4 linked regions of the Alligator mississippiensis genome follow. The protein of the gene in region 3 interacts with the protein of the main gene of each other region in a pairwise test. Links are inferred from orthologs where the notes say so. Each region holds a gene or a part of one and is shown on either strand. Other genes may lie near its edges. The genes, in order: MRM1, MCEE, AGTRAP and PIMREG.

The links.
Region 1: the proteins of AGTRAP (region 3) and MRM1 interact in binary tests that used the Homo sapiens proteins (3 or more experiments, as listed by UniProt). The two-hybrid records come from large-scale screens. The link is inferred for Alligator mississippiensis from reciprocal best matches to the Homo sapiens genes AGTRAP and MRM1.
Region 2: the proteins of AGTRAP (region 3) and MCEE interact in binary tests that used the Homo sapiens proteins (3 or more experiments, as listed by UniProt). The two-hybrid records come from large-scale screens. The link is inferred for Alligator mississippiensis from reciprocal best matches to the Homo sapiens genes AGTRAP and MCEE.
Region 4: the proteins of AGTRAP (region 3) and PIMREG interact in binary tests that used the Homo sapiens proteins (3 or more experiments, as listed by UniProt). The two-hybrid records come from large-scale screens. The link is inferred for Alligator mississippiensis from reciprocal best matches to the Homo sapiens genes AGTRAP and PIMREG.

Annotation. Positions count from the first base shown.
Region 1 is NC_081837.1:5,044,273-5,051,702, forward strand, and holds the start of MRM1 (rRNA methyltransferase 1, mitochondrial), read left to right. Parts: upstream 1-4,422; 5' UTR 4,423-4,483; intron 4,484-4,831; 5' UTR 4,832-4,868; coding exon 4,869-5,737; intron 5,738-7,106; coding exon 7,107-7,200; intron 7,201-7,430. UniProt on the Homo sapiens protein: S-adenosyl-L-methionine-dependent 2'-O-ribose methyltransferase that catalyzes the formation of 2'-O-methylguanosine at position 1145 (Gm1145) in the 16S mitochondrial large subunit ribosomal RNA (mtLSU rRNA), a universally conserved modification in the peptidyl transferase domain of the mtLSU rRNA.
Region 2 is NC_081834.1:35,436,892-35,444,470, forward strand, and holds the start of MCEE (methylmalonyl-CoA epimerase, mitochondrial), read left to right. Parts: upstream 1-4,568; 5' UTR 4,569-5,598; coding exon 5,599-5,686; intron 5,687-7,579. UniProt on the Homo sapiens protein: Methylmalonyl-CoA epimerase involved in propionyl-CoA metabolism.
Region 3 is NC_081836.1:12,387,410-12,394,519, forward strand, and holds the start of AGTRAP (type-1 angiotensin II receptor-associated protein), read left to right. Parts: upstream 1-4,091; 5' UTR 4,092-4,148; coding exon 4,149-4,175; intron 4,176-7,110. UniProt on the Homo sapiens protein: Appears to be a negative regulator of type-1 angiotensin II receptor-mediated signaling by regulating receptor internalization as well as mechanism of receptor desensitization such as phosphorylation.
Region 4 is NC_081837.1:9,024,447-9,031,874, reverse strand, and holds the start of PIMREG (protein PIMREG), read right to left. Parts: upstream 3,005-7,428; 5' UTR 2,898-3,004; intron 1-2,897. Other genes in the region: F-box only protein 39, read left to right, coding at 6,076-7,089. UniProt on the Homo sapiens protein: During mitosis, may play a role in the control of metaphase-to-anaphase transition.

The sequences.
Region 1 (7,430 bases), on a different chromosome or scaffold from region 3:
AGCATGGGAGTCCCCCACCTCCACATCTGCGTGCGTTCTTCTAGATCACATTGCCTGTCTGCACATCTTCAGAGACTTCTTATAGATACTAATTAAGCTTCCTGTCAGCTAGATAAGTTGGCTTACAAAGGGGTGACTTCCCTCCCATGCTGTACCTGGTCTGCAGCTAGCCAGAGGCCTGCAAGGCCTTAGGGCTCTCCCCAGCATCAAATAACCCTGGCTAGATGCCACGGAGAAATGACTTGCACTAGGAGCTACCGCAACTCAGAGGACTGTGAGAAGTACGCAAGCAGAAGCATTGGGAAAACAAATCCTGGGAGATAAATGGGTTCTTGCCCATTATATAATATATAACCCTCTTGTAAGTAGTTTCCACCCTAATGGCACCAAACGCCCTAATGAATCAAATGGGAAAAGGAAGCTGAACAGACCAGCTTCACTCCATTGAGGCTCAGGAGTGTTGCACGGGGAGCTCGGCGCTGCCAGGGCAGCCCAGGGGATGGATGAGTAACACTCCTAGACTGCGCTTCTGTGCTCTGCAGCAAAGCTGGCGAAGCGGGGAGAATATGGCCAAAGATCTGCTGATCAGGTAGCTCCTTTCATAGGCTCCTTACCCTGCTTCCTCACACGCTGCTCCAATGCAGTGCTCGTACACAAGATCTTTTCATCTCCGGCGACTCAGAGGAGGAGACTCACTTCTGTGCCTGCTTGTAATATTTAAGCAACATGCCTTGGAGGGCGCTCGTTAGAAGGCAAAGGTTTTTGGAGCACCTGTGCTTCTGGCAGGCCGTCTGCTCCTGCGAGAACATTTTAATGAGACCGTTATTAATTATGGAGACTTATTAAAAAAAGAAATCTAGAGCAAAAGCCCTGGCCTGCCCCCGGGCTCCCTCAGCTCATTGTTGAGTGAGTCCTGGGGTTGCATTTCTTCAACATCAGCCTTTTTTCAAATGGTTGTCTGGGGACTAAAGGGGAGAGCAGCCAGGTGATGGGCCTGAAAACTATCCTGAAATCTTCACTGTTCTCTAATGGATGAAACGCAGGACTTGGATTTGGCTTTGGGCTCCGTGAAAGATGCATTTTGTGCTCTCGGGAGCAGTGCTTCACCTCTGTATTTGGATGACGTGATCCCCCTTCCTCTAGCCTCACTCTCCCAAGACTGCACCTGAGCTGTGGATGGAAAGATGGTGAATTAGTGTTGAAGCAGTATCCTGAGCAATGGATTTTGCTAGCTGGTGGCAGAGCATCTGCACGTGTCCCTTTGGCCTGTCTGCCTTAGCAGGGTTTGCAGCATTTTCAGCACCTGGAGAAAGCAACCCAGCAGGGTAGCAGGTTGCAGGCACACAGCTATCATAGTTTTTGTGGGACAGCTAAGGTTTTTTTCCAGGTCAGCAGCTTTGTAGCACTATATCTAATTCATCTACATATCATAGCACAGTTCTGTGACCCAAATAATGCTGTGATCCTGCCCACACTTGCAGCTTGCACCGACCGGTCTGTCATATAGTAGGGGGATTTTTTTTTTTTAACTAACATGGGTACAGTGTTATGAGGTTTAATTATATTGCTGTAGATACGTCCCTTTTTTGTATGACACTTCCGTGGAGCACCTTTGATACTGGTATAACTGCATCCACGTGAGGCGGGGTAAAATTATACAGGTACAGCTAAAGCAGCACAACTTTCTGGAGCAGACAAGGCCCATGTCACACTGTTGGATCAGTATGTCACTCCACTGTCAGTATGTCTGGACACGATGGGTCATACGACACAACAGTTTGTGCCAGGCTGTCCTGATGTGTCTATATGGCAGGCATTGAGCTCTGAGAAGTGGCAACCCTAATCAGTCCTCTGCGGTCCTTTTACACAGCCAGCTGGGTTTGTTAAACCCTTGCAACCTGGTGTGTTAGGGGCAATGAGCAATCAGGGCTCGTAGTAGAGATGATATCTTTTATTAGGCCAACAAGATTTTTGCAAAAAAAAAAATTCTTTCATTGCAAGCTTTTGGGCACAAACACCCGTCATCAGGCCATCAGGTCAGTACAAGAGGAGCGCTTTTAAACCTGTGCATTTTCTCGTTGACAGACTGAGCCAGATTCAGTCCAGGTATACGTACCTCCTTTGGCTTCTGCAGGTGAGTGTGGCTCCTTATTGCTTGTTTGCGGTGTCAGCCTTATTTTGTCTCTGTTCACCAGGCTGCTTCTGGCCTTTTCAGTAGATGCCAAGCGCTCTCTGCTGGTGACCAAGAAATAAAGCATCCTTAGGTTTAGAAATAAAGCATCCTTACGTCTCTGCCACATGGCCAGGGGTTGTCTGACAATGAGAGCAAGTTATGAAACTAGGAATAGCAAGACTTGGGCTTCTGTCTTTGGGGATTCTTGCAGAAATGGGGGTCTTTTGGGGTAAAAACCAAGTGGTTGCTGTTGCCAAGCAAACACTAGCAAAGTGAGCGCATTAGGACGCAGGATTTGGGAGACCAAGGTTTTGCTCTGAGCTGAGCTACTTGATAACCCTTTTTCTTCTCTGTATCTCTGTGCCCCTTATACCAGGCTTGTCCATTTAAACATAGGCTGCTTGGGGCAGAGATGGTCGTGGACTTGTACCGAACCTAGTGCAATGGAGCTGCGATTTAGCTGGGGGTCTCCAAGCACTACTTTATTACAAACCAGTACACTCAATAACTAGGACAGCTACTTGGATCTTTACAAGATGAGCTCGTACCACAGGTAGACAAACCCCATAGGTGCGTCGTCTCCATACCCCAGTGTTTTCTTTCTAAAAGTCCTCTAGGAGCCAGGTGGGTTGGATGGCAGTTCTTGGGAGAAAACCCCAGGCTGGGGTGTGGGAGATGTGGGGATGCTGTCCCCACTGGAGGGAAGGCAGACACCACTTCAACACCAGGCTTTGTGCCCACTTGGGTCCTCTCCCCGTGGGGTGCCGCCGTCTCCCTGCATCAGTGCCATTGCCCACACCAGGGCACCCAGGGCAGGGGCTGTGATGGCTCTCACGGGTGAAGGTGGGCATCTTCACAGGAGGGTGCTTGCTTCCCAGGACACTTGCCACAGCCAGGGTGCAAGACCCAGGGCATCCCTGGGGCATGGACAGGGCTGGGGGTGCTGCAAGGCATGCACGGCCCTCATGCAGCCCGGGGCTTGCTCCTCCCAAGGGGCTGGGCTGCACCCTCCTCTCCCCTGCCTTCCTCCCCCCAGGAGCTGAGCTATCTCCTGCGGGCACCTGTACATGTTGACTTTGTCTAGTTAAATATATTCTTTGGTGGGGGGGGTTGGCTTAACTCTTGCAGTGTAGCATGATAACTGTACCAATGTACCACAACAAAAGACAAAACTTCAGTGTAATGATTTAATATTTCTTAAATTTAGCTTTCCAGCTATTAGCCCTGTTTGTTACAGGCCAAAAAACAAACAAACAAACCAAAAAGCATCTAAAATTGGATGTTTTTAATATGTACCTTTGTCCAAGCAAATGCCACCTGCATCTATTTCTGTATAATTTTCTGGACCCAGGATCTCTGGACCCAGGCATGTACTGTGTCTCGAATGTCAGGTCAAATCCTGACATTGTAACCCTGTGAATATAGAGGAAAATCAGTGAGAAATGTGACCCTGGCATTACAATCTTGTGAATATAGGGGAAAATCAGTGCAAAATGGGATCCTGGCATTATAACCTGGTGCATATAGAGGAAAATCAGTGAGATGCGACCCTGGCATTATAACCTTGTGAATATAGAGTAAAATCAGTGCAAAACGTGATCCTGGCATTGTAACCTGGTGCACATAGAGGAAAATCAGTGTGAAATGTGATCCTGGCATTATAACCTGGTGACTATAGAGGAAAATCAGTGTGAAATGTGATCCTGGCATCATAACTTGGTGCACATAGAGGAAAATCAGTGTGAAATGTGATCCTGGCATTATAACCTTGTGAATATAGAGGAAAATCAGTGCAAAATGCGATCCTGGCATCATAACCTGGTGCACATAGAGGAAAATCAGTGTGAAATGTGATCCTGGCATTATAACCTGGTGACTATAGAGGAAAATCAGTGTGAAATGTGATCCTGGCATCATAACTTGGTGCACATAGAGGAAAATCAGTGTGAAATGTGATCCTGGCATTATAACCTTGTGAATATAGAGGAAAATCAGTGCAAAATGCGATCCTGGCATCATAACTTGGTGACTATAGAGGAAAATCAGTGTGAAATGTCATACTGGTATTATAACCTTGTGAATATAGAGGAAAATCCGTGCAAAATGTGATCCTGGCAGTGCAACTTGGTGCATACAGAGTAAAATCCGTGCGAAACGCGACGCGGCTCCCGCAGCCCGGGCCCCAGGTCTGGTCCATGCAGGACGCACGTGCCCCGCCTGCGCTGCCCGGCGGCGGCCGCCGGCCACCAGGTGGCGCCCGAGGGCAGCGCAGCGGCACCCGGAAGCGGAGCGCGGGCACGTGGTTGCCAGGTAGGGGCTGCTGCAGGTCTGAGGGGAGCCGTGCGCCCTGCCCCCCCCCGGGCTGTGGGGCCTCCCCCGCCCCCCTCAGACGGGCCCAGCCAGGGGCTGCTGCAGCTGCTGGGGGCTGAGGGGAGGGAGCCCCCCCATGGGCTACTCCCTGCCCCTCCAGGGGTGAGGCAGTGGGTTTAAACTGTAGCCACACTTCCCCCACAGCTGAGCTTTTTCCTGTCAGTGTCCACACAGTCGCTCCTTTTCTGCAACAAGCTCCCCGCCTGGCATTGCACCCTACGTTATTTGCTCTGATTTTATTAAGCGTCTCTATTCTGAAAATTGAGTCCTGTTTTTGTCTCTCCACAGGGTTTTGTTTTTTTTTGGCATCTCCGGGACGTCAGATATGCAGCCCATCTGGGCTCTGTGCACGTCTGTTGCGTCAGTGACCTCTTCTGCCAGACTGGCCTTTGCACTGGAAGCAATGCAAGCGTTTAAGTTCAGCACCTGGAAAGAGAGGCGACTTCGGTCCGCTTGCAGTCGCAGCGGGGTTTTTTGGGCGGCCAGATGTTTTTCAAGCAAGCAGAAGCATCTGCCGGCACGGTTCGGGTCGCCTGGTCAGGGAGGGGACGAGGGGAACCGGCAGCAGCACGACGGCCATCGGACTCGGACGTCCGAACAGGTCAACCCCGAGTCGCCGCCACCTCCCCGAAGCTGCAAACCCCCGAAGGACAGTCGGCCGCTGGGCTGGAAGTACAAGAAGAGCCCGGGGCCGGCTGCATCATCCAGAGAGGAATTTAGAAACTTGAGAGAAGATGATTTTTCAAAACCGTGGAGACGGCGCTCGCAGAAGTCTTTGTCCGTTCGAAGAACGCAAGGCTCCGAGATCTTGTTTGGCGTCGGCCCCTGCTCCATAGCCTTCTCGCAGGCCAAGAGGAACTTTTTCCAGTTATTCGTAAAGTCGAGCAGCAGCGGCCTGCGCCCGGTAATGGAGGAGTTTGTCCAGCAAGCTAAGGCCCGTGGGGTGTCTGTGCGCTACGTCAGGAGGGAGGTGCTGGATGCCCTTTGTAAAGATGAGGTGCACCAGGGGGTTTGCTTAGAGGCTTCTCCCCTCGGCCTCAAAAGCGTGGAGGAGACTGAGGTTCCTGCCTGTCGGGATCCACAGCAGCTTTGGCTGCTATTGGAGCAGATACAAGATCCCATGAATCTGGGCACGGTGCTCCGCTGCGCGTACTTCTTAGGGGTTGACCAAGTGGTGATGAGCAGAAGCAACAGGTAAATGCGGTGCTTTGTATTTTGTAGCAAGGTTTCCTTTGCACGTTACTGCCGGTTCCCAGGCAGCGTTAATGTCTGGTGCACGTCTGTAGCTCCTTTTTATCCCAAACAACTCGGAGAATCAAATAGCCAGACTCCATGTAACCCACCCTGGACCACACCGTTGTTATTTGTTTCACGTGGAAGACGCTCGCTTACCCTGATGATGAACGGTATAAAATCCTAAGGCTGGCAGATGGGTTGTCTTGGGATGGAAGGAACTAAAGCCTGCGTCGTTGTGAAAAGCTTGGCTTTGTGTCGTGCACATACAGAGGTTGCCAGATGTTTATAGCTCAAAAGTGGAGTGTATAATGTGACTCAAACGGCCCAGGTGCCGAAGGGAAGCACAGCTCCGAATCCTTTTCTGCTGTTTTTCTACCGTCCAGTGTGAGTTTATTCTCGATTCGGCTGAGGTTCAAACATGAAAGAGAGTGGCTGTTCTCACTCCACAGACAACTGCAGCCTCACCCCAGGGCGCTCTGCTTGGCAGGGTCATGCCCATTGAGTGACTATTCCTCTGCATAGGGTTGCTGTTATTTTATTTTATTTTTTGGGGAGAGGTTCTGGAGAAGTGGGACCACTATTTGTTTAGGGACTGGAAGCAGGATGCCAGTCTGTCCAGGCGCTGCCTGTGCCTGTAGTGGATTGGTAGCCCCTGCCCCAGAGAACTTGTCCTCAAATATAAGAGGGCGCAGATGGATGCCGACTGATTGCTGGGAATAGCACATGAGCAGGGTAATAATCCCAGCATTTCCATAGCTCTCCTGTGCTTTGCGTCTAGTTGGCATTACGGCAGAGGTGGGTGTTCAGAGGAGGACGGTGTGAGGCTGATGAACCGTGGGAGAGGTGCTTAAGAGGGGCTTGCTTTCCCCTATCATCTCTCTTCTCAGTTGCTTCATAGAGGTGAATTGGGGATTAACCTGAGGGATAGAGGTGTGTGGCAGGAGAGTCGTGGGGACACAAGTCTGGGGTTTGCATCATTTTCTAATAGCGCTCATCCTCCTCTCTGGGTGGGCCCGTGGTTGCAATAGCTACCTGCCATGTATCCTCTTGAGACAAACCCAGCCACAGGTGCTTTTTTGGCCTCTTTCTTTGTTTTACCATCTTCAGTTTTTCACTTGTGCTCAAAACGCCTCTTGCTACCTCCTCCCTGGGTTCGGGACCTCCCATTTCCTATAGGCACGTGCATCCATATAGTAGTGAGTAGAAAACTGATCTAAAGTACATCTCAAAGGGCAAAGAGTGAGGTAACAAACACTTTTCCCCCGTCCCCCAGGATTTTCAATGTGCTTTGTGTTCACTGGGAACTTTTTGGCTTTTCTACTTGCAGCTGCCCCCTGACACCAGTCGTGAGCAAAGCCAGTGCTGGAGCTATGGAAATTTTGGACGTCTACAGCACGGATGATATTCCAAGATTCCTGAAGGTAGAAGAAACCAGGTTTCCTGGATTTATTTATGTATTTATTTTGAATATTTACTTTAGTGGAAAGGATACAAGTGTTAGAAAGTTTGAATCTCTGAATCTAAGCAGATGTTGGGAACAGAAAAGACACCATCTCAAACCTGCCTTTTGCAGACACACACCCTGTCATTTCTGAAGTGCACACTTTCTCTCGCCTGTTTGTTGAGCATCTGCAGTGGTGGTGCCAGGACC
Region 2 (7,579 bases), on a different chromosome or scaffold from region 3:
TAAATAAAATGTTATACTAAAAATCAAACATCTACTGTATGTATCATCTATAAATTTATTAAAATTATATATTCTGAAAGATTTTAAGTGAGGGGTCCTTGACAGCTCATCAAAACTGATTAAGTGGTCTGCCAGTTGAAATAATTGCCCACACCGTTCTAGAAGGACACTCCAATATATGCAGAAAGACAATAACATGCACCTGTGACAAGATAGTGCCCAAGGGCAGCTATATTACCTCCTTGTGGCCCCCTCTGTCTTTTTTGGTCCCACTCAGATCTCCCTGGATGACAGCCCATTCACTTGTCTACCATACCTTGTTGGTAGAGAAAATTAATGGGGGAGGCTGCCCACCTGAGATTGGCAAGTCCTCTGGGGCTCTCCCTCTCTCCTATTTGTTTTTGGTACTTGTTTCCTCAGGTCTTCCTTCCTCCCCTACCACCACACCAATATCTCACAGATGACACAAGTTATCATTTGAGTGTGCATCTCATCCCTTTACACAGCTTGGCCCTCTGGCCACAAAAGTTTTGTTGGGGCTTTAGCCCCCTTCCTCTAGCTCAGTGGTTCTCAACCTTTTTTGTACTAGGACCCATTTGTAAACATCAGTGGCCAGTCCTGACCTAGTGGCCCTGACTCCCAACCCATTGCTCCCCATGCCTGGGCTCCAGTCCCAGTCAGCCCCTCACAGGCTAGAGCTCTGCCAGCCTGAAAGGGAAAAGTCAGTTTCCCAAGTTTTTCTCCTTTAAAGGAGAATCCATTTTTAAAGTTTGTTTGCAACCCTTTTGATATATTCTTGCGACCCACAGGTTGAAAAACACTGTTCCTGACCCCGGCATCTGGGCCCCAGCCCTGGTCTCACCCTTCCAGGCTCTGGCTAGCCTGCTCATGTTCAGGCCTCAGCCACTCCCCTTCTCTGTCTTTTCTGGTTTGGGTTACTGGCCCTCTGTCTCATACTCCCACCCTGGCAGGGCTGCTACCATGCCTTCCTGCCATCCTATGGCCTCCTCCTCACAGCCACACCTCATCCATTAGTATAGACTGGAACATAAAAGGAAGAAGCTACAGCTTTAACAAAAGCCCACCCTGCTCAGAACAAATAAATATAAAAGAAAAAAATGCCTTCCCATCACTTTAACAAAACCCTCTCATTCTCAGGGTAAAATAAACACACACCCTTTCAACCCTTATCTCCTGGGGCTCTCTCCCTGCTCTGTTTCAGGTGTTCAATGCTGATTGGAGTCTGCCAAGTACCTCCTGGAATACTAGCTCCCTTTTATGTCTCTCTGACCCTCAGAGAGCTGAGGTTTTTAAACACCTGGGAGAGGCTTCTTCTAATCAGCTGACCCTCCCTGGTTGGCATAGCTGCATCTCATTAATTCTCCCCTACAGCTTGCGCTGTTTCCTGGCCCTTGCTAGGCTTTGCCACAAGTAATCTCTTTAGTAACAGGAGCCTTTTTTCAAACCTCCTTTCAAACATTTTTTTCCCTTCTCCATCTATGCTTTTTGAATGGAATGGTTTAATATAATCATCTACCTCTTTTCAAACCTCCTTTCAAACATTTTTTCCCTTCTCCATCTATGCTTTTTGAATGGAATGGTTTAATATAATCATCTACCTCTTTTCAAACCTCCTTTCAAACATTTTTTTCCCTTCTCCATCTATGCTTTTTTAATCAAATCGTTTAATTTAATCATCTAATATCTGTGTACCACTGTTCTCTGCATGACAAACTATGCTGTGCACTCTTTTATTTTGTCCTGGCAACTGCCTCCACATTTTACAGGCCCAGGGGTCTCCCATTGAAAAGTGGTTGCAAGACTGAAACCTAATTTTGCAAAGTGCTTTAGGAATCAGTTTATGTGGAACACTATATGTAAATTGCGGATTTGACCTAGCAGTTCTTTCTTAACAGAAATAATCCTCATTCCCATGAGTATGCCGATTGATTTACATGGGACTACTCATATCAGTAAAGGCTTACAGTATCAGGCCCTGGAACTGTATGCTATATAATCATCTGTTTGCTGCTGTTGCTGTTTTCTCCCTTGGGTGACTTTAATACAACTCTAGACTTGGATATTCTCAGTACTGAATAACATATTCTAAATATAGTAAAGCTACAGTCATCTTACTATGCAGTTTTGTGTCTATAACCTAGATTCTAAGGGGTTTTTTGGACTCCCATTTTCAGCAGATATTGTGAGAACCAAATGTCTGATGGTATCCTGCTTTACCAGCCTAAAGATTCATCCATGCACATATTTACACAACTGTACCATTCACAATGATTAATGTTTCCCCTTCAGTTCTAGTATTTTGTAACAATACATGATGGCTTCCTGGTCAGATTAGTTCCACCAGGCAAACTCTGCTTTGAGACTATGTAAACAGCCTTGATGTAGGAGCTTCAGCAGGGGATCGAGTCCATCTTCTCGGTAGGCTGCAAGCTTCTCTGCGGCTGTTACTCTCTTAAGGTTCAGTAATATGCTTGTTATGTGTGAACTTTTGTCTGCAGAGGTTAATACATGTCAAGGTTACACACATCATTATGGAAATATGGTACTGGCCTGGCCCCTGTCCTGCCTCAGCCTTCCTATAAACCCTCCAGTGCATACTGCCTATGGGGCATAAGGAAGAAGGAACGGGGAATAAGGAAACAGCTATAGCCTCATTGCATGCTGTGCCAGTGGAGCAAAGCTTTACAGTGCACAAACCATTCACACTTGCTGCAAAGACTCCTCCATCCATACTTTCAACTTCACTCAAAGCTTTCCACACTCTCCTATAGGAAGAGGAACATAAATATTTATGCCATCGTTTCTAACACAACAGTTAGCTAATTATTGGGTATTGCAGTTTATTTCAATAAGAAGGAGAAATTTCTTGATACAATCCTGTTTATATACAAGGAATGTACAAAGTCCAATTTTCTGGTATGGAGTAGGAATCACCAGCTCCGTACCTAGACTTCTGGCAGCCCCAGGGAAACTTTTACTATTGGGGCCCCCTTCGCCAGAGATAATAATAATCAGACAACAGAAAAAAAATTATCATGTTCATGTCTCCTTTCTGTCCGGGCCCTGGGCAGCTGCCTGGTTCACCCATGCCTGTATTCGGCCCTGGGAATGACAAGATAGCTTTGCTTATAGCTCCAAGTCTCTTTCATCCAATTTTTTATCTAAAAACCTCTCCCCTTTTTCTTCAGAGTCATACTACACAGGCTTTTGTGGCTGTATATGGGTTTTTTTAACTCCTCCTAAATGCCAGTACTATTCCTTCCATACAAAGAGCTCCAGCACCCTGTCCTGATCCATAGCTCTCAGTGATCTGTCAATTCTGTGTGTAAATATCCTTTAAAAAAATCAGGGTCCAAAACCTACATTTTCTGCATCAGTTTCCATGCCCAACCTTGTGAACTCTTACACGTGTGTACAGCTTTATGTGCATGAATAGCTAGGGAACAAAAAATAACGTGTTAACTTTTTGTTCATGGGTAACCCCCCAAATTATTGTAGGACAGAGACTCAAGAATCTAAGTACTGCAAAACTGGAAAGAGAAATCCCAAGGGTTAGTAACACAGCAGTTTTCTCTGTACAAGCCAGGAGAAAAGCACAAAGTAAACAAGACCCAGAGTGACCTGTAAACGAGCACTTTAGGATTCTTTTAACAACATGAAGCATTATCAGTCAAGAAACAGGACACCGCCTCTCATCTGGCAAGTTTTCCAGTACTGGCACAGGAGTAGGCCTCAGCTAGAGGACAGGATTTTCATTGCCTTTCTGACCCAGTGATTCTCAACCGGGGTGCCCTGAAACCCTGGGGGTCACAGGATGTCATGCAATGTTAGCACAGTTAGGCGTGCAAGCGATGAACCTGGAGATTTCAAACAGGAATCCAGAGCAGCCAAGCCCTTCTGACCTGCTCGGGTTTGCCTCCATCCCTGAAAGTGACCTCGAGTCTATCGGGGGGCACCTCGAATCAAAAAAGGTTGAGCACCGCTGTCCACCAGGAAGGTGTGGGGGTCTGTCCTCGAGTGAGATCTGCCGGGGCTTTGCTCCTGTGGCCAGCAGGGCCTGGTGGCTCAGGCCCCTCAGGTTGCTTAGCCCGACGTGAGGGATGATGTCAATGGGATTCAAATTGCCAGGGAGCTCGGGGGGCTGAGCCCCCCATAAGAGACAAGGTCCCCCTGTAATATTTGAAAACCATAACCCTAACTGGGGTCTCCAGTTTTATTAGGGCACCTGATGGGCTGCCAGTTTTTTTTGCAGACCCCCACGAGAGTCACAGCGTCCTTCCATCCACCCCTGACGGCAGGGACCTGACCAGGGAGGGCTGCTGTCCCCCTGCCAGGTTTCTTCCCAGAACAACTCCGCCCCGCGCCGCCCTGTCCGCGGCGGAAGCTGTCGATAAAGTTGGCTTTGAATGACCCGCGGCCAAGATGGCGGCGCCCACGGGCAGAGCGGTGGCTGGCGCGGCGCGTGAGTGGGTCTCGCTGCGGGGCCGGGCGGACGCGGGGTCCCGCTGCCCCTCGCGCAGGACGGCTCCTCTCCGCGGCCGGGCCCGGGGCAGCGACTGCACTGGGGGGGAGGGCGCTGCTGCCACAGGCACGTCCTTGGCCTTGGTGGCGTCTGCTGGCCGCAGCGTCCCCCCAGCAGCGGGCGTGGGAGACTTGTGGAGCTGGTGGCTCGAGCCCGGCGGGGCGGGTTTCCCTTGTGCACGGCCGCCCGGCCCCGCCGCCGTCGGGGCAGCTTCCCTGCGCGCGGCCTGGGGAGGGAAATCTCCCCTCCGTTGGCAGAGGCCTGTGGCTGCCTTTGCCGCACTCATTTGTACCAGTCTCGTGCAGCTTAAGGCCTCCTGTTCCTGTTCTTGCCCCCCCCCTGCGCAGTGTGATTGACGGTCTCTCCTGGGAGCCAGCCGTCTGAATTGCTGTGTCCAAACCGTGCTATTTTGTTTGTTTAACTGATGACTTGATCTGGAGCGGGCTGTTGAATGCCTGGCATAGCCCTGCCTAGGCTGGTGTTTGATAAGGGAGCTGAGGCCCAGTGCCTGGGTCTCCTCTAGGCCCGGGTCTCATCTATGCCCCTGAGTATATAAGGGGTGCACCAGGCTGTGGGAGAACAGTTGTTCGCCAGGGCTCCCCAAGGTCTAACGGCCACAAACTTATGGTGGTGCAAGCACCGACTCTGGACTCATTCAAAAAATGTTTGGATGCTTATCTTGCTGGGATCATTTGACCCCAGCAGACTTTCTGCCTATGGCAGGGGGGCTGGACTGGATGATCTCACAAGGTCCCTTCCAGCCCCTAATGTCTATGAAATCTATGTCAAGGACAGGATCCTGGGCTGCAGCAAAAAGGCACTTAACCCATGGGAGAGGTGGCACCTTGCTGATCCCAGAGAGATCCTGGAGTCATCGAGGCGATTCTAGTGTACATTAGAGAAGCCTGAAGGCCAACGTAAAGCGTGCTGGCTGCTACTGTCCCTAACGGTTATTGGTCCTTTCAGATTGCTGGGCTTTAGGAATAACAGGCCGTGATCCATTTGTGCTTGTGCCAGTGTGGGGAAGGCAGTGTTGGATATTTTCTTATGCCTTAATGCCGCATGAGGACCCTCTGTTAGCTAGAATGTGGCTTCACTCGGACACACAAGAGAATTGGGTGCAACTGATTAACTGGTGTCAGGGTATGTAACTTGATTCACATGGCATAGATTTGATCAAGTGCCCATTAAATCAATTGGCATCTCCCATTGACTTGCACGTGTACAGTGATACACTATTTATGTAATTATGTGAAGGGTCCGGATCTATTTTTTGATGTATGTTGCACTATACATTCCCTGCTTATAAACTCTTGTCACTAAAAGTATGTTAGTTCCCAAGGATAGGGACTACTGTTAGTGTTTGAACAGTGCTGAGTACTTTGATGTTGATCAGTGAAATAATAACTGAATTCAAAAGGTAGTCTAAATACATGCTGGAGCGAATCATTAAACATTTCAAAAGGTACTGAAAGGTTGAAGAAAGTGACATGACACACATTATATAATCTTTGTGAAATGTACGTGAAAGCAATTTTCTCTAAATGGTAATATTTCAGAAACGTCAGCCAAAAATATCCAATTTTCTGCTATCTCTAAAATATATAATAAAATAGGTCTTCAGGGCTCCGTATTGAGTGCAATGCTGACTATATTGCTGATTTAAAAAAAAAAAAAAAAAGCATTTACCAAAGGCTTAAAAACTATATATACTGCATTACGAGATTGGAAGGAAGGCACTTTTGTGGTTTGACAGTTGGTTAAAAGATAAAAATCAAAGGGTAGGGCTAAATTGGGTGGGCAAAATACTGCCCATGAGGCTGGATCTGGCGCACTGATTTTGTCCAGCCTACAGCGGGTCACCTTGCCCTGTCCAGCCCAGGCTGTGGCTCATGTAGGGCACAGCCCAGGCTGTGGCTCATGTAGCTGGTCCCACTACCCCTAGGCATTTAGCAGTGCTGGGTGGCGCAGTGGCCGGGCTTACTTCCTGGCAGCAGCCACTTCATCTGGCTGCTGCCTATGCACCCTGGCCTATTCATCCCATATCCACTGCTGGCTGGGCAGATGGGATGGGGCTACAGTCAGGCAGGGAGTAGCATCTGGGAACGGGAGAGTTGCAAAGGGTGCCAGTTCTGTGGACAGGGACGTGCAGCAAGTGGATCATGGCTCTGCCTTGGGTCCCAGTCCCTGCGCTGTCACTGCCTCAACGTCCCGGCCCTGCCCACCCATTCTGCTCCCAGATGCAGCTCCCCATGACCCGTGGCCACCTCTCATCCAACTGGCTGTGTGCCCTGCCCTCTCAGGTCCCAGGCAGTCTCCATGGAGTCGGTGAAAGTGTGGGGCCAGGGCAGTGCTGCAATCTGCTACCTGCATACCTCTGCCTGCAGAACCAATGCCTGTCACAGGGACTTGCAGGGAGTGGATCGACTCTGCCCCAGCCCTGTGGTGTCATGGCCCTGCGATCCCAGTTCTGGGTCGGCCCTACCCACCATCCTGCTCTCAAATGCCACTCCCCAGCGCATCTGTGCCTCCATCTCAACCTCCTGGCTCAGCACTGAGCAGAACCACTATGGGGAGTTTTGCTGCGCTGTTGTGGGGAGAGGGTGCAATGCTGCTAACCTAGCCTGCAGCAGTTCACCAAAACTCCCTGTTACCTTCTGGCCCAAATAATTACCCATCTCTGGGTTAAATGCTCACTTTTCAGGATGGAAGGGGGTCAAATATGGGGTCCCACAGAGATCTTTGCTGAGCCCTGTTTTGTTCAACAGTGACCTGGAAGTGGGGATGCACAGTAACATCAAGTTTGCAGATGAAACCTAATTATTCTGGGTAGTCAAGTTCCAAGCTGACTGAGAGGAGCTGCAGAAAGATCTCACTAAGAACCTCACTAAGTGAGTGAGGTTAAAAAAAAAAAAAAAAAAAAAAAAGGCAGGTGAACTTCAGTGTCAACAAGTGCCAGGTAATGTACCTGAGGAAAAATAACCCCATGTATACATAATGATGGATTTTGAATTGGCTATTACAAGTTGGGAAAGA
Region 3 (7,110 bases):
CTTTCCCTTAGTTTCTGACAATGAAAAATATAATAGAACAATCTGCTGTTGCAAAGAACTCAGAAAGACCACAAGGGGTCAGAGTGGACTTAACACCATGGATTCCTATTTGAAATCTCTGGGTTTGTCCTGTGAATCCCTCCATTGGCACACCTACCAGTGCTAACATTGTGTGGCACCCTGTGCCACCCTTGAAAAGCTCTCCAGGCATCCCTGGTTGAGAATCACTGGCTTGCACAAACAAACATGCAAGAAAGCTTTGCTTGGGCCTGTTTTCACAACTGGAAGTACCTGAGGCTGCTGTTTCCCCATTGGTGTCTATAGGACCCCACAGCTTCCCTAGTACCTCCACCAGGCAAGCTTATATCCAGTCCAGGCCAGGAAGTGGCCCATGAATGGGGTCTCAACACTTTGCAGACCCTTCCCCTCTAAGGGAAGGGAAAGAGTCTGTCTAGCTTCATCCCTGTGTATCTTCCCTGGGTTTACACAGTGCAGCCAGGGTCTGGAGGTGAGTGGTCAGAGCTCACCTGGGAATCCCACTGCTTTGGCTGAGCAGGGCTGAGTACCTGACCCAAAGCCCAGTCTGGAGAGTAGAGAATAGTGCAGTCTCCTAGTCCTCTCCCTTATACTGCCAAGAATACAGCAGGATGGGTTAGCAATGGTACCACCAGGATCAGCACTGTACCTAGACTCCTGGCAGGTGAACTTTTAGTATCGGGCCCCCCTTTATCAGAGATAATAATAATAATCATTATTTTCACCATTTTTGGGCCCCCTTTCTGTCTGGGCCCTGGGCAGCTGCCCGGTTTGCTCATGCCTGTGTCCGGCCCTGACCAAGATACTTAGCACAGACCACCCCGTTGCCTGCTATTTGGTCACAGCTGAGCTGCTCTGAATCAGCCAGCTAGTTATAAGAGTTCTCCAACCTGCTCCCCGCTGCCTTCCAGTTCTCGCAGGAGCCTGGTTTCCTGAACCTCTTGCTTATCTCTTATGCTGTGTTTGTGTCCTTTAGTTATATCACATCCCAGGATTGAGCAGAAGGCAGCCACAGAGGCTGCAACACAGTTACGTGGTAAGGCAATTTACAGGGTACAAGCAAAGAGAAGCAGAGAGAAAAAATAGGACTGACATGCCTGAGACGTGCAGATGCATAATGTGTGCAATGGCTCGTGTTGTTTTCATCACCGTGAGATCATTAAGTCATTTCCAAATCCCTTGAGTCCGTGACATGCAAGCTCAGGATGTAATAATCAGGGGTGAACTAATTGCACGACACACTGAAGAACAAAGGAGAAGAAAAGTGCTGTATTATGGAAAGAGGCCATGCATTAAACAGCAATTACATCAATCCAAATTGTGGTGCTTGCTGTATGAGGGATGACTTCGGTCTCAATCTGCACCAAGCGAAAGTCTCAGAAGGAATCAAGAGTCATAAGTCTCGCTGTATGCAAACAGTGATATGATCCTCAGATTCAACATGACCAGACTGCAGCAGGAATGTGTCTCTAAATTGATACTGTCCTTTCCCCAATGCTGTGATTCCCCAGGTGTTGCCACAATAAATCAGTTATTTAGTCTCTGGTTGGTAAAGGGATCAGACGTGCAAATAGCCATAATCACCTGAGCATTTCTACTGAATCATGCTTTCAACCTGGGCCAAAGCCCTGCAAGGGACAAGAGAAAACTTCCAATATGAGTCTGTCTATACCGGGTGACTAGCAGGTGAAGTGTCTGCTGCTTCCATCCTGGGACTTCATCTTCACCATTTGACGGCCCGGATTCCCAGGAGATGGGTTCTCAGAACCGTGGGAGATCAGATCCGGCCGTTCAAGCTGTGTCATGCTGAGTGTCTGAAATCAGCAGCTGCTTCTGAAAGTCTTGGCCATCTGTTTCTGTGGGTAGACCGAGGCTCTGTAGGAAATGGGGAAGTGAGAAGCAGCTTATCACCCAAGTGGAACGTACCAACAAGGGAGACATTTTCTACCTCTTCTGGGGAAAACTGGTACAATAGGAGCTTGCTCAGAGGACTTGTGCAGCTAGGTTAGCTCATTATCATCATCATTTGGGCAGGGGGCTGGACTCGATGATCTTCCGAGGTCCCTTCCAGCCCTAATGTCTATGAAATTATTGCTGGTTGGGGATCTTCTGGGGCTATCACAGATCCTGCCTTGTAAGAGTCCAGGTGTAACTAAACAGCAGTAGCAATACATTTCTCAAGTAAACTTGCCCTGTGCTGAGCCCTCTTCTCACTTGCTGGCTCTGCTGTTTATGATCTCAGTTCTCTGTGTGGCATTTAGTAGACTAGCACCTTATAAATAACAGGTCACTTCACTTTGGCATTTGATTAGCATTTTCTAGATCCCAAAACACAATGACTTCAGCAACCAGGGGGACTATAGATGCAATGACAGGCAGGTCAAGTAGGGCAAAAATTGTGTCTGCTGGGAAGATCATTGGTTCTAAATTAACTATTGTCCTGGATTCCCCAGTGCTTCCTGCATAGCCTTGCATTGCAACACTTCAACAGTAAACCAGATTACGATATGACTCATCCACTTCCCATTCTGCTTCCGTTGGAACTCGGGACTCTTATTTCTCAGAGGCTTCATCTCTGCTGTGAAATGGGATTGCAAGGAGCAGCTGATTCAATTAAAGCATTTCCGTCTGCAGAGGCAGGTGAGTTAAGTGTCTGCAGGACAAGGAAAGTCAGGTGAGGAAGATGATGCTCTTTGATCCTTTATATTCTCTCTAAAATGACTCAGGGTGAAATCCAGTCCAGAAGTCAGACCATAGGCTAAGTGAGTGGGACACTGGGAACTCTGATCCCTGCCTAGCTGTCTGCTATGAACCTCTTTCACAGTGGGGGATGGATTCATTCCTGTTTCCCCCATGCCTTGCTGAAAGCTGTGAAATGGTCTCACTGTGGGAGGGCTGGGAAGGGGTGTGGCTAGGGTGGCCATCATAGAGGACAGTCTGGTTGCCAGTCTTCAAGAGAAAAATAGAGGACAAAGGTGTCCAGTTTCATATCAATAGAGGACAGAGTAGCAGAAAACAAATTTGAAAGCAGCTGAAATTCATTTCAGAGTGTCCTCTATAATGGGCACCCTAGGTGTGGCATGAGCTTTCTCATCTCTTCACAAGAGGTATTTCTCTAGCAAAGGGGATTTAGGATCCAGATGGCTTGTGGCCTAAAACAGTTTTTTTAAAAGAAATTTTTCATGTTCCAAGCCAAATCAAGTCCAAATCTGTGAGTCAGTCCAGAACTGTAAGTGGCCCTACACCCAGCAAACATCCTCCACCCCGCCTGGAGCTTCAGATATTTCCAAAGTCTTTTGGCTATCACCCTATGTGCAGGCCCAAGCCCGGAGGCCTGGCGTTCGGATGCCCCCAAGTTTTGCCTGCCCGCAGCCATATGGCCGCAGCAGCAAGGTAGGGAGCAGCCTCCCATTTCCATAAAGTGGGCATTAAGCCCCAACACCTCGTGGGTACAAAACCACGCCAGAAGAACAGTTCTCTCGGGGAATACTTAAGGAAAACTGCCTTCCTGGACCAGATACACAGCGTTTCCTCTGCCAGGTAAGTATTAGGCTTGCGGCCTAAAACACACAAAGGTAGAAGGATGCGCAGTCACATGGGAAACATGAGTATGCACACACGCAGCCTCCACGGGGCCTGTCCTGGAACCTCTCCCCGTTCCCAGTGAAAGCACACGCTGCTCCTGTTACCAAAAGGGACCGATCCACCAGCGACTGCAGGTGTGCAGAGCCCCGCACAGCTGTGGCCAGGGTGCGAAAGTGCCGGCTGCCCCTTGAAGTGTGTCCTGGTTGCCTTTCCCCACCAGAGCTCTGCGGCTGTGGCTCCTGCATGGGTGGGGTGGGTGCTGCTGGTGTCCCTCCTGGGGTGGCACATGAATGAAGCGCAGGCTGTGGGTGGGTGACAGCCAGCGTGGGGCACCCTCAGGCACTGGCTGTTGGCCATCTCCCCTACCCCCGGGGGGGGCCGGCTGCCACCTCCCCGGGGCCTCTCTCTGCAGGCCGGCTGTAGAGGGGCGGGAGAAGCGGGCGGCCCCACGCGGGGAGTCACGGGGCGGCGCGGGCGGCGGGCGGAGCCGCCCCGAGTCGGGAGGCGGAGGGTCCCCGCGCGGCAGCATGGAGGTCCCCGCTGTGAACCTCAAGGTGCGGGCGAGGGCAGGGCGAGGGGGGACGGGACGGGACGGCACCTCCCGGCGGGCGGGCGGGCGAGCGAGCGGAGAGCGCCGCCTGCTTCCAGCCCGGACTTCACCCCTCCGGCGCCGCTCCCTGCGGCTGCCACGGGAGGTCCTCCCTGCGGAGGGTGGGGGGCAGCGGTGGGCGCAAGTGGAGATGAGGACAGGGCAGGAGGAGCGCAGTGGTTTCACACAGTCCAGCCTTCAGACTTGCTTTCTTCTTCAGGCCCTTGGTGCTTGCAGGACTCTTGGCTGCGGTCCAGGCCTCCTCCCCCTGCACCCCTGATGCTCAGCGATGAGTGGGGTGCTGGGGCCCTGGGTGCTGGGGGGCGAGCGCGGGAGCCAGGGACTTCCTGAAACGCTTGTCACGCTTCTGTCACGTGCGTGTTTCTGCCCCTGCGCTGCAGAACATCAGGAAACAGGCAAACTTCCTACCGGGGGGGAACAGGCAGCATTTCAAATGCATTCTTGCAACATGAACCCTGTTAGTTATTAACCTAGTCCTGCCACAGATGCTACTTTCAGGCCCGGCGTTAAGAGCCTGGAGGCTGTGAGACGCAGCGGATGGTTTGTTTTGCTTCCTAACAGAGCTGCCCTTTGCCAAGCTCAACCTTTGCCAAGTTTTCAGATAGGGTGGTGCTGGGCAAGGCTTGTCTCTGAGGAAGGTCACCATGCCCCGCTAGATTTTGATCACTAAACCTTGGTGCGTGTGATATTTTTTAACCTGCAGGGTTTGAAGCCCCTGCTGAAAAGCTGCGGGCCAGGGCTGTGCAGAAAAAGAGGCTCCCTCAAGTGTAAGTGCGAATCAACACCTTAGTGAGAAGCGTGTCCTTCCTAGGAGAGGGGAGATGAAAAAAAGGCTTGAGTGCTCTTGAACTGGCTTCTGACTGAGTTTGTCTGGCGTCCAGGCACCTGGCTGGGGGGCTGGAGCTCCGCATGAGGGTTGTCTGCGTTTGTGGAGGTGTTTTTGCAGAGTAACTCCAAAACAATTGTGCCGCCTCACCTCACGCGCCCAATTCCTTTTGGATCAGCTCAGCTGCTTGGTGCCGGTTGCGCAGCATCCTGGGTAGGTGCCACAGGCGACCAGGCTCTCTGCACGCAGGGTTGTTCCTTGTGTGTTGCTGTTGGGACTGGCAAACACCCAGGGTTGCTGTTCCCCCTCTCTTGCTTCCCGTGCAGTTTTGCAAGCTAGCGTCGTGTTTGAACTGCTGGCAGTCAGCGTGCAGGGGATGCTGCTGCGCCCCACAACCCTAGCAGTCCTTAATATGCAGAGGCTACTGCAGCTATGTTTGCCATTGCAAGAGTGGGCGACTGTGGGTGCCAGTGCTGCTCCCCTGAGCTGGGTGAAGGTCTGAAAGTGGATTAGCCACTAGATGAACTTTTCCTGGATTGGTTTTACTCTGTGGAGCTCCAATTCTCTGCTCAGGGGAGCTCACACTACCTAATAGGAACGGATGGCAGTGCAGACTGCGGATGGGCAACAGCTGTAGCAGATCATTGGCTGATGTGTTTGCAAGAAGAGCAACCCCAAGCCACATCAGGGGCACAGCTGCCTGTGGGTCCCCCTTCATGTGGAGAAGCACAGGCCCATTGCCATCTGGAAGTCTGCCGCCCTCAGCACTCCAGACAGCAGCTCACCAGTTTGGGGCTGGTCATTCAGTGCTCAAGGGTGCTGTTGCCATGGAAATGTGTTGCTATAGAGGATGCTGGTGCTTGCAATATGCTACATTGTCAGAGCCTCAGTGGGGAGGATGTCTTATTCCCCTGCTTTGAGGTGAAGCACTGGGAATTTGCAATAAAGAAGGCCCTCAGGAGAGGGCACCTACAAGGATTTCAAGGAGCGGACCCTTTGGCCATAATAGCCTTGCTCCTCACCGAGCTGCGTACATGGCAGCAGCTTTTGCATTCTGCTGGTTTAAAGGTTGCATCACTGCTTTCAGTACACCCCAGCAAAAGAGCATGGAGCTTCGTTTTTCCAAACAGTCAAGATGTGGAATAGATGCCTCCCGGTGCCCGTTGTCTGTGGGTGTGTGCTGCTCTGGTGGCAGACTGCTATAGACACAAAATCCCTGCATGGGCCTGCCAGGGGGTGCGGGTGCAGAGTCCCCATGCTCATGGTGTCTTGGTGGAGTCGCGAGGAGAGGGCCCCTGGCTGGAACCGCCGAGTGCCCCTTACGTTTCAGGGCAAAGCTACGTGGGGTTGTGGACTGGGCAGGAACGCTGCATCAAGTGTTGTCCAGCCACTGGTTCTGCATGTCCTTGCTTGACTGCTGTCCCTGCGCCCTCTCCAAGGAAGCCTTCCCCCCTCTCCTGTCATCCTTATACAGCATTTCATCTCTGCTTTCTGTCTTCTCTCGACCTGGGGCCATGCCAGGTGCTGTGAGACCAAGGAATCACGGTCAGGATGTCCTTGTGTGAGTTGGGTCAGCAGTGATATAGGAGTTGTTCTTGTGCCAATTCCGGTCTCTGCAGCAACTAAGATAAGATGTTGCTGACACCTCAGTTTGGGAAGGCCACTGGCCAGGTCTCGTCTCAGGCTGGGCTGAGCTTGGAGGAGTGAGATGTCTCCCCTCTGCCCTTCTGCTGGCTTAAAACTCCTTGGGTTGGAGGTTTGGGGGCAGCAAGGGAGAAGGGTGGCTCAGAAAGGCAGTTGTAGCATTGCTGTGTTTCCTGCTGCTCAGCCAACTCAGAGAAGTCCCAGCCTCTGAGCTGCTCGGGGGGTGGGGGCACCCAGGCTGTCATGAGAGAGCACGTGGCCCTGTGTTGTTGGGGCCAACATGGTGCATGCTCTCAGCTGAAAAGTCTCCCTTGTGACCTGAACGGATCAGCCCAAAACAGGATATGAAGGCTTGCACTGTCATTGTCCTGAATCTAAACAGTTAACAATGCTGAGTTTGCTTAAAATC
Region 4 (7,428 bases), on a different chromosome or scaffold from region 3:
TGATAAATGTTCACCCTTCATTCCCATCCATTTTTTCTGGACTCTGGTGACCAGTAGATTGGGTCTCCTATGGGGCATAGTCAGCAGACGACCTACTCTCAATTTCCTTGTAAGGGAATACTTTAAGTTAGTAGCTCTTGCTAATAAACAAGTCCCCCATGCTGAATCACTGAACTGTATGAACTCAGAAGGAAGCTGCTTTAAAAATGATATAAAAAAAAAAAAAAGGCAAAGCAAATTGCATTCAGATATGCTTTAGTGATTGGAGATAAGAGCCAACTATGTTTCTCAACACTCCACTGCATATTAATAAATGTACCGCAGTGTAGAAGCATAATGAAGCTTTAAAACGGGCACTCTACTGAGATGTGCTGCGTGCTCTGAAAGGGTTTCGTGGATGGCTTCCCTCCGTGCCCAGCCTCAGCAACCACCCATCCACCTAGCAAACACCCCACGGTCAGCTTCTGCAAGGGCTTACACAGGACAGTAACATATCAAAAGCACACAATAAACCGATGACTTCCTTAAATACAATTTTGCATATAGGTATGAGGACAAACTGCAATATGCACAGCAGTTTCACTAATTTCGGGAATGTGCAAGAAGCAATATCGTTTATGGGACCATTTATCGCATCATTTACTGGCATTTATTGTAGGTGGAGGGTAGGTTAGGCAAGCTTTGGGGCACCAAATGCCTTTCTTCAGGTCTGGGAGAGAAGCAAGGTAAATACCATTTAGGAAAAAATGCTTTTGTTTAACCCTATTGCATGAATAAAAAGGCTCATTTTTGAAAAGGAAGTAGTAAACCTGTGGAGGAAGAAGGTATCAGAAGTAGTTACAGACCAAGAAAAGACAAGTTGCTACATAGTTAACCCCCATTTTGTAAGAGTAAGATTGTTCACAAGGGAAGAGGATACAGAGAGGTGAAGAGGGGGAGCAGTAAGTTTTAATGAGCTATCACTGTCTTTAGTAAATGCATGGGTTTTGGTGACCAGTGAGGTTACCGATTTTTGTTCCCAAGACCTTAAAGGTTATCTATTGAAACCTCTGCCATACCTGTATTTCAAGCAGGCTGTGAAGTTGTGTTGGTGTGGGTGGGTGTGCATGCATGCCTCGACTATTATGGCTCTCAAAAGGGATGGTCGAGTTGCATGCCAATGGCTGCATTTGCATTGCAAGTGCTTCTGCACAACAGCTCCCCGACGCAGCACGTCCAGGTCTATCCGGCTGCTGCTACTCGGCCACTAAGGCCCAGGCGTCCTTACGAACGGTGCACCCTGCAAGTCACTCAGCCCTGACCTTGCAGCTGAGAATCGCAGCCTGCTCGCTTTGGGGCTGCATCCCTGTCATGCTCGTGCTGTTGCTAGGGTTGCCAACCCTCCAGGATTGCCCTGGATTCTCCAGGAATTAGATATAAATCTCCAGGAGACTGCTGAGTCACCCAGGAGATAGAGTCCAGAGGAGAGCTATGCGTGTGATCAGAGGGCAAGAAAACAAGCCTTATGAAGACAGGCTGAGAGCTATGGGACTCTTCAGCCTGGAAAAGCACAGGCTCAGGGGTGACCTGGTGCCAGCCTTTAAGTACATCAGGGGTGTGCATCAGGATCTGGGGGGACGCCTGTTCACCAGAGCGCCCCGAGGGATGACAAGGTCGAATGGTCACAAACTCCTCCAAGACCATTTGAGGCTGGACATAAGGAAAAACTTCTTTACTGTCCGAGCCCCCGAGGCCTGGACTAGACTTCCTCCAGAGGTGGTGCAAGCGCCTGCTCTGGACTCTTGTAAGAAACATTTGGGTGCTTTGGGATTTTTTGATCCTAGCTGACGTCCTGCCCCTTGGGCAGGGGGCTGGACCGGATGATCTTACAAAGTCCCTTCCAGTCCCTAATGCCTAGGAAATGCTGGGCCATTCATTAAAATAAATATTAAATGTTAGTTCAGTGGGGTTTTGAAATGCCATAGCCGTGCACCTTTGCCTTCCCAACCTAAAGTCTGCGCCCTGTGATCTGCAACAGGTCGATGCAAGCATGCGGGCACATTCGCATTGCCTCGTGTGCACGCTGGCATGCTGGAAACGGATTTAAGCAGAGCTGGCAACCCGCCTCCCTTGTGGGACACCACCCTCCCTCCGGCTTTCTTTAGGAAGCGGCAGCAGCAGAAAGCGATGCCTTTTCTGGGTTGTCTTTAGAAGCAGCAGCAGGAAGTGATGCCTATTTTTTTTGGGGGGGGGAGGGGTTGGTTTTATTTAGGAAGCAGCAGCAGAAAGCAATGCCTTTTTTGGGGGGTTTTTTGGTTTTCTTTAGAAACCATCAACAGAAAGCAATGCCTTTTTGGGATTTTTTTAGGAAGCAGCAGCAGAAAGCAATGCCTTTTTGGGGGTTTTCTTTAGAAACCGTCAGCAGAAAGCAATGCCTTTTTGGGTTTTTTTTAGGAAGCAGCAGCAGAAAGCAATGCCTTTTTGGGATTTCTTTAGGAAGCAGCAGCAGAAAGCAATGCCTTTTTGGGATTTCTTTAGGAAGCAGCAGCAGAAAGCAATGCCTATTTGGGATTTCTTTAGGAAGCAGCAGCAGAAAGCAATGTCTTTTTGGGATTTCTTTAGGAAGCAGCAGCAGAAAGCAATGCCTTTTTGGGATTTCTTTAGGAAGCATCAGCAGAAAGCAATGTCTTTTTGGGATTTCTTTAGGAAGCATCCGCAGAAAGCAATGCCTTCTTTTGCCGGGCTTTCCTAGCCCCGTCCCTCCATAGCCCCGCATCTTTTCGGTTTCCAGTTGCTCTTGCAGCCGGCTCCAGAGGTGCGAGCGTGCAGGAGCGGGGTGGAGCTGCGGCGCCCCGCGCCTCGCCGGGCCGGAGCTCCCCGCGCCCCGCGCCCGCCCGCCCGCCCGCCCGCCTTCCTACCTGCCCGCGCGTCCCGCCGCGGCTCCGGGTTTGAACTGCGCGGGCCCCGCGCGGATTGGCCGGCCCGCCGGGCCCCGCCCCGCCCCGCCCCGCCCGGGACAAGGCTGGGAGGGCCGGGAGCAGAGCTCGGCCCGGCAGCTCAACCTCTCTGCCGAGTCCCAGCCTAGCATCTCCCCTTCCCCGCGAGACGCTGACCCGTGCTCAGCCAGCAGCAGCCTCTGGGAGGTGTGCGAAGGAGGCTTGTCCTGCCTCCAGGAAATGTCCCTTGTCGGCTGAAGCGGGCCAGGCCCTGCTGCAGAGGAAACCACCCCCAGCCCATTCTGCTGCATCGTTTGCTACAGTGTTTTTGTCCACATTAGCCAGGGTGGGAAAGGTGCTGCAGTTTTCTTTTGCACCCAGCAGTCTGGAACCACAGGTGTGGTTTGTGGTTGTCGGTGAGGGAAGCAAGCGGTAGGTGATGAGTCGTGTGGTTAACCAAGTGACCGCAAGTGGCAATGCTGAGCGATTCTCAACCAGGTGCCCTGAGATTCTTGTGCCACAGTGTTACCACTGCTCGGTGTGCAAGCACCTAGAGACGATTCACAAGGCAAGTCCAGAGATTTCAAAGAAGAATCCACTTTGTTAAAAACGTTCTGATTTGTTGGGGTCTTTCTGAGTTCATAGATTTCATAGACATTAGGGCTGGAAGGGACCTCGCGAGATCATCGAGTCCAGCCCCCTGTCCAAGGGGCAGGAAGTCAGCGGGGGTCAGATCACCCTAGCAAGATAAACATCCCAATTTTTTTGCGACAGAAGAATTGCTCTATTATTTTCCCATATTTATTTTTTGACATGGCGAGTCACTGAAAGTGTCAGAGAGCTGCCTCGGGTCTAAAAAGTTTAACCACTGCTCTCGCTTCATCACGCAGGCCGGGACTCTGATAAAGTTAGACGCTGCAGGAATTGGGTGTCTTAACTCTCTTAGTCTCAGTTACAGTTGCTGCCGCTCTCAATAGCTGATGCTGGATCAAATCCTTTCTTTGTCTTCAGAGCGCTTCCTGAGAACTCTGCATGAATAAGAGCATCTGGATTAATTGATCAAAATGAATTGCAATCTATATGGCAATTGAACGTTATAACGGAGGGAATAGGAAACGATCCAATTTCAGATCTTCCATTACTGGCAAGGTTTCAAATCAAATTGCCCACCGTACAGTGTGTGCCGTATGCTGCCGTTCACACGCAGAAAACACAGGTGCAGAGAATGGCTCTCTATCCTACTGCAGAGGGAAATCATTAAATGCGTAAATGACTCACTTCAACTCTTTTCCCATAAGACATTTCTGTTTGAACAGTTGCCTCCTTTTTGAAAGCCTCTGTGATAGGAGGTCAGTTCTTTCCCTTCTATGGCTAGTACTTTGTCCGTGTTTTATCTCACAGCTAAACTGTGCTGACACCTAGTGATAACTGTGTGGCATCGTGACACCGTGGCCGAGAAGGATGCGGGTGAATGGATGCAGCGTAGGCTATCATATGATCTAATTTTAGCAGTCCAAAACCATGGAGCAGTCACCCCTATCTTATCAGCAACTTTATTCTCTGGTGCTGTTTCAGTCCGGTATGCTTGCGTTCCCTTTCTCATCATCATTCAGTGACTCCCAGGTGTATCTCCGAGCTCCTCCATCTGATGTGTTCAGTATCTTCCTGTACTTGCAAACTCCTTTTCCCTTTAAGCATATCTCTAGGGAAATTTGCAGAGAACCTAGCTGCAGAACTGCCTTGTTACAGTATCCGGAGGTATGGCACAAGTCTCTGTATCTTTTAGCAGGGTTTGGAGCTGTACTTGCACACAAAAGGATAAGTCATGTAGAGGGAGGTCAGAGAGAGAGAGAAATAGCTGGGGCGGCGGGGAAATAAAACCAGGATATGATCTAGACACCTGTCAGATCTGTTTGGAGAACTTTCTGTGGCTTCTGCATGCTTTCCTCTCATCTGATTTGGGACTTGTTATTGGCAGTGGAAAATCAGCTTGCATCACGCTCTTGAAGTTTGCAGGTCCTCGTTTGCAGCGAGCATTGCTTTCGTTCCTTGCTGTGTGACAGCTGCCACATACGTAACTGTACTGTTGACGGGAGGCAGTAAGCAGCTGTGAGGTTCCCTGTTCACGATTTCTTTCCTCATTACTGTCATGTTAGCCGTATGCAACCACGGCTTAGGGCCGGTGCCCTCTCCTTGCTTGCCCTGAAGTCAGGTCAGTGCCCATGACATCACAAAGGCTACCTCTTGCTCCCTGGCAATAGCTGAGCTCCCTGTGATTGGGACGGGGGGAAGGCATGGTGATCACTGAACCCTGAAGGGAGCAGATCAGAGGAGGAAGGGTGCTGAGGCCCAAGTAGCTCCCAAGCAATCCAGACTGGAAGTCAAAACTGGTAACTAATTTTTTTTGTATACTGAGTGGTGTTGGTCTCTTCCTTTTACCACTTGTTCTTGGGTCTTCGATCTACTGGGCACGATTGTCCACATTTCCAATAACTGGATGACTCCATTGGATGAACTGCATGATGATTATTTCCCTCTCAGGGAATACATGCTTCAAACAGAGCTGTTTCCAGAAATTAAAAAAAAAAAAAAAAAAAAAATCTCCAGCAGGTATTTCAAGTGCCTGCTGAAATAGGCAGAAGGAAAATCAGCAGATTTAGTATGCTCTGGGCAGAGCAGTGATCTTTTCAGTGCAAAAGCAAGTGGTGCTTTGTACGGACACCAGCATGCTCAGAGAGGCTCAGAGAGGCTCAGAAACATCTGATGAGGCACAAGAGCCACCCTCAGGGGTCTCTGGACTCTGCGCAGATAAACTGAAACCTCTGCCCCATTATACTGCAAGGTGCTTCAGCTCTGCTGGAAGTCAAGGGGCTGAAACTGTGCTCTTTGCTTTTCCTGTTGTGGGAGTTGACTCATTGCTTTTCTCTTTTTTGATTTAGGTTAGATCACAGTTTAGATCTGAGAGCTCATTTGGCCACCAGAGATCCTAAGGAGGCAAAGGATGGATTAATGCTTTTAGATGCAGAGCAGCAACATTTTAGCCACTTGATTGGAAGAGTTTAATCTGTTGGGAGACAGCCAAGAAGCTAGCCACTGCCTTCCTGATCTATAGACCACCTAGGTTTGATTCTGTCCCCAGCAGGAACTGACTGTCTCCTTCATGGAGGATGACAGTGAACATGAGCAGAGCTGCTGGGCATATCTACCTGATGTCTGCCTCAGCCACGTGTTCTGGTGGTTAGACGATAGGGACAGATCCCAGGCTGCGTTAGTCTGTAAGAGATGGAGTCAGGCCATGTACGCAGGGTCTCTTTGGAGAACCAGAACCATCACCTTTCGTGGGAGGCCTTCTAGGTTGCACACATCAGAGCTTGAATCTTCTCTGTGGTATGTCAAGAAATTTGGCAAGTACTTGGAACACCTCGAGATCAGGTTCCTGAATCCTTACAATGCTATCTTGACGCGAAAATTTCAAGTGACAATGAAAGGGCTTCTCTCACGCTTGGGCAAATGTAACAGCCGACTGGTGTCCTTGAGTATGCAGCACCTGGAGTTGGACCGATTGGTCTGGAAAATCGTGACCAGGAATCAGTTTATCAAGAACCTAATACTTTTCCTGAAAAGAGTAGGCTCCCATCTGGATCATCTCAGTTTGAAAGGAGCCAGGGTGACGCTGGAAGAAGGCTGTGAGCTTTTGAGCTCTTTGAGCTACTTGAAAAATAAAAGCCTTGCCTCTGAAGTCAACATAGAAAATTTCTTCGAGCGTCACCTCGCTGTCTACAGAAGCCCCCTGTTTTGCGAAACCATGTCCAAGTTCCGCAATCTGGCCATCCTGAGCCTCAATTACAACTGCATTTCCGATGAACTGCTGGACACGCTGTGTGAACATAATGCCCATTCTCTCTGGACCCTAAATATCAAATGCCATATCCATGACCCTCATAGGCAAATAATCTGGGGGGTATCCTGGGGAAACCTAGCCAAGAGAGCCCCCAAACTCAGAGTGAACTTCTTCTTTGAAAGAGTCATGAAGCATGACAAGTTAGCCAGGATCCTGTTAGCAGAGATCCCTGTCAGGAGCATCAATCTACGCAGCTGTTATTTCAGGGACCCGGACTGGACAATGAGACCCACCCTCACCAATCTCTTGCCATCTTACAAGCACATCCTACAGGTACGGTGGGGACAGAGACACTGTACTCTCCTGTTCCTGATTTGAACAGGAGGCCATGCCCGTGTTAGCCTTATACTCAACTGCCAGTGTGAAAGTGAAGCCCTTCAAAGCCCACAAGGCCCTTTTACCCACCTTAAATTGATGTGCCCCCTTAAACGGTAGTCCCAACGGGACACTGTTTCACTGGAGGGGGAAACATGGTGCATTTCTTTCAGACCATATTGATTTCACAGGTCCTAGTGCTTTGATATGTTCCTAGGGATTTGAAGCTTTGTGCTAGTGCAGGTTATTCCTTTATAGTGTCAGATGTAATTTATTCTGTTTAACATGTAGATCAAG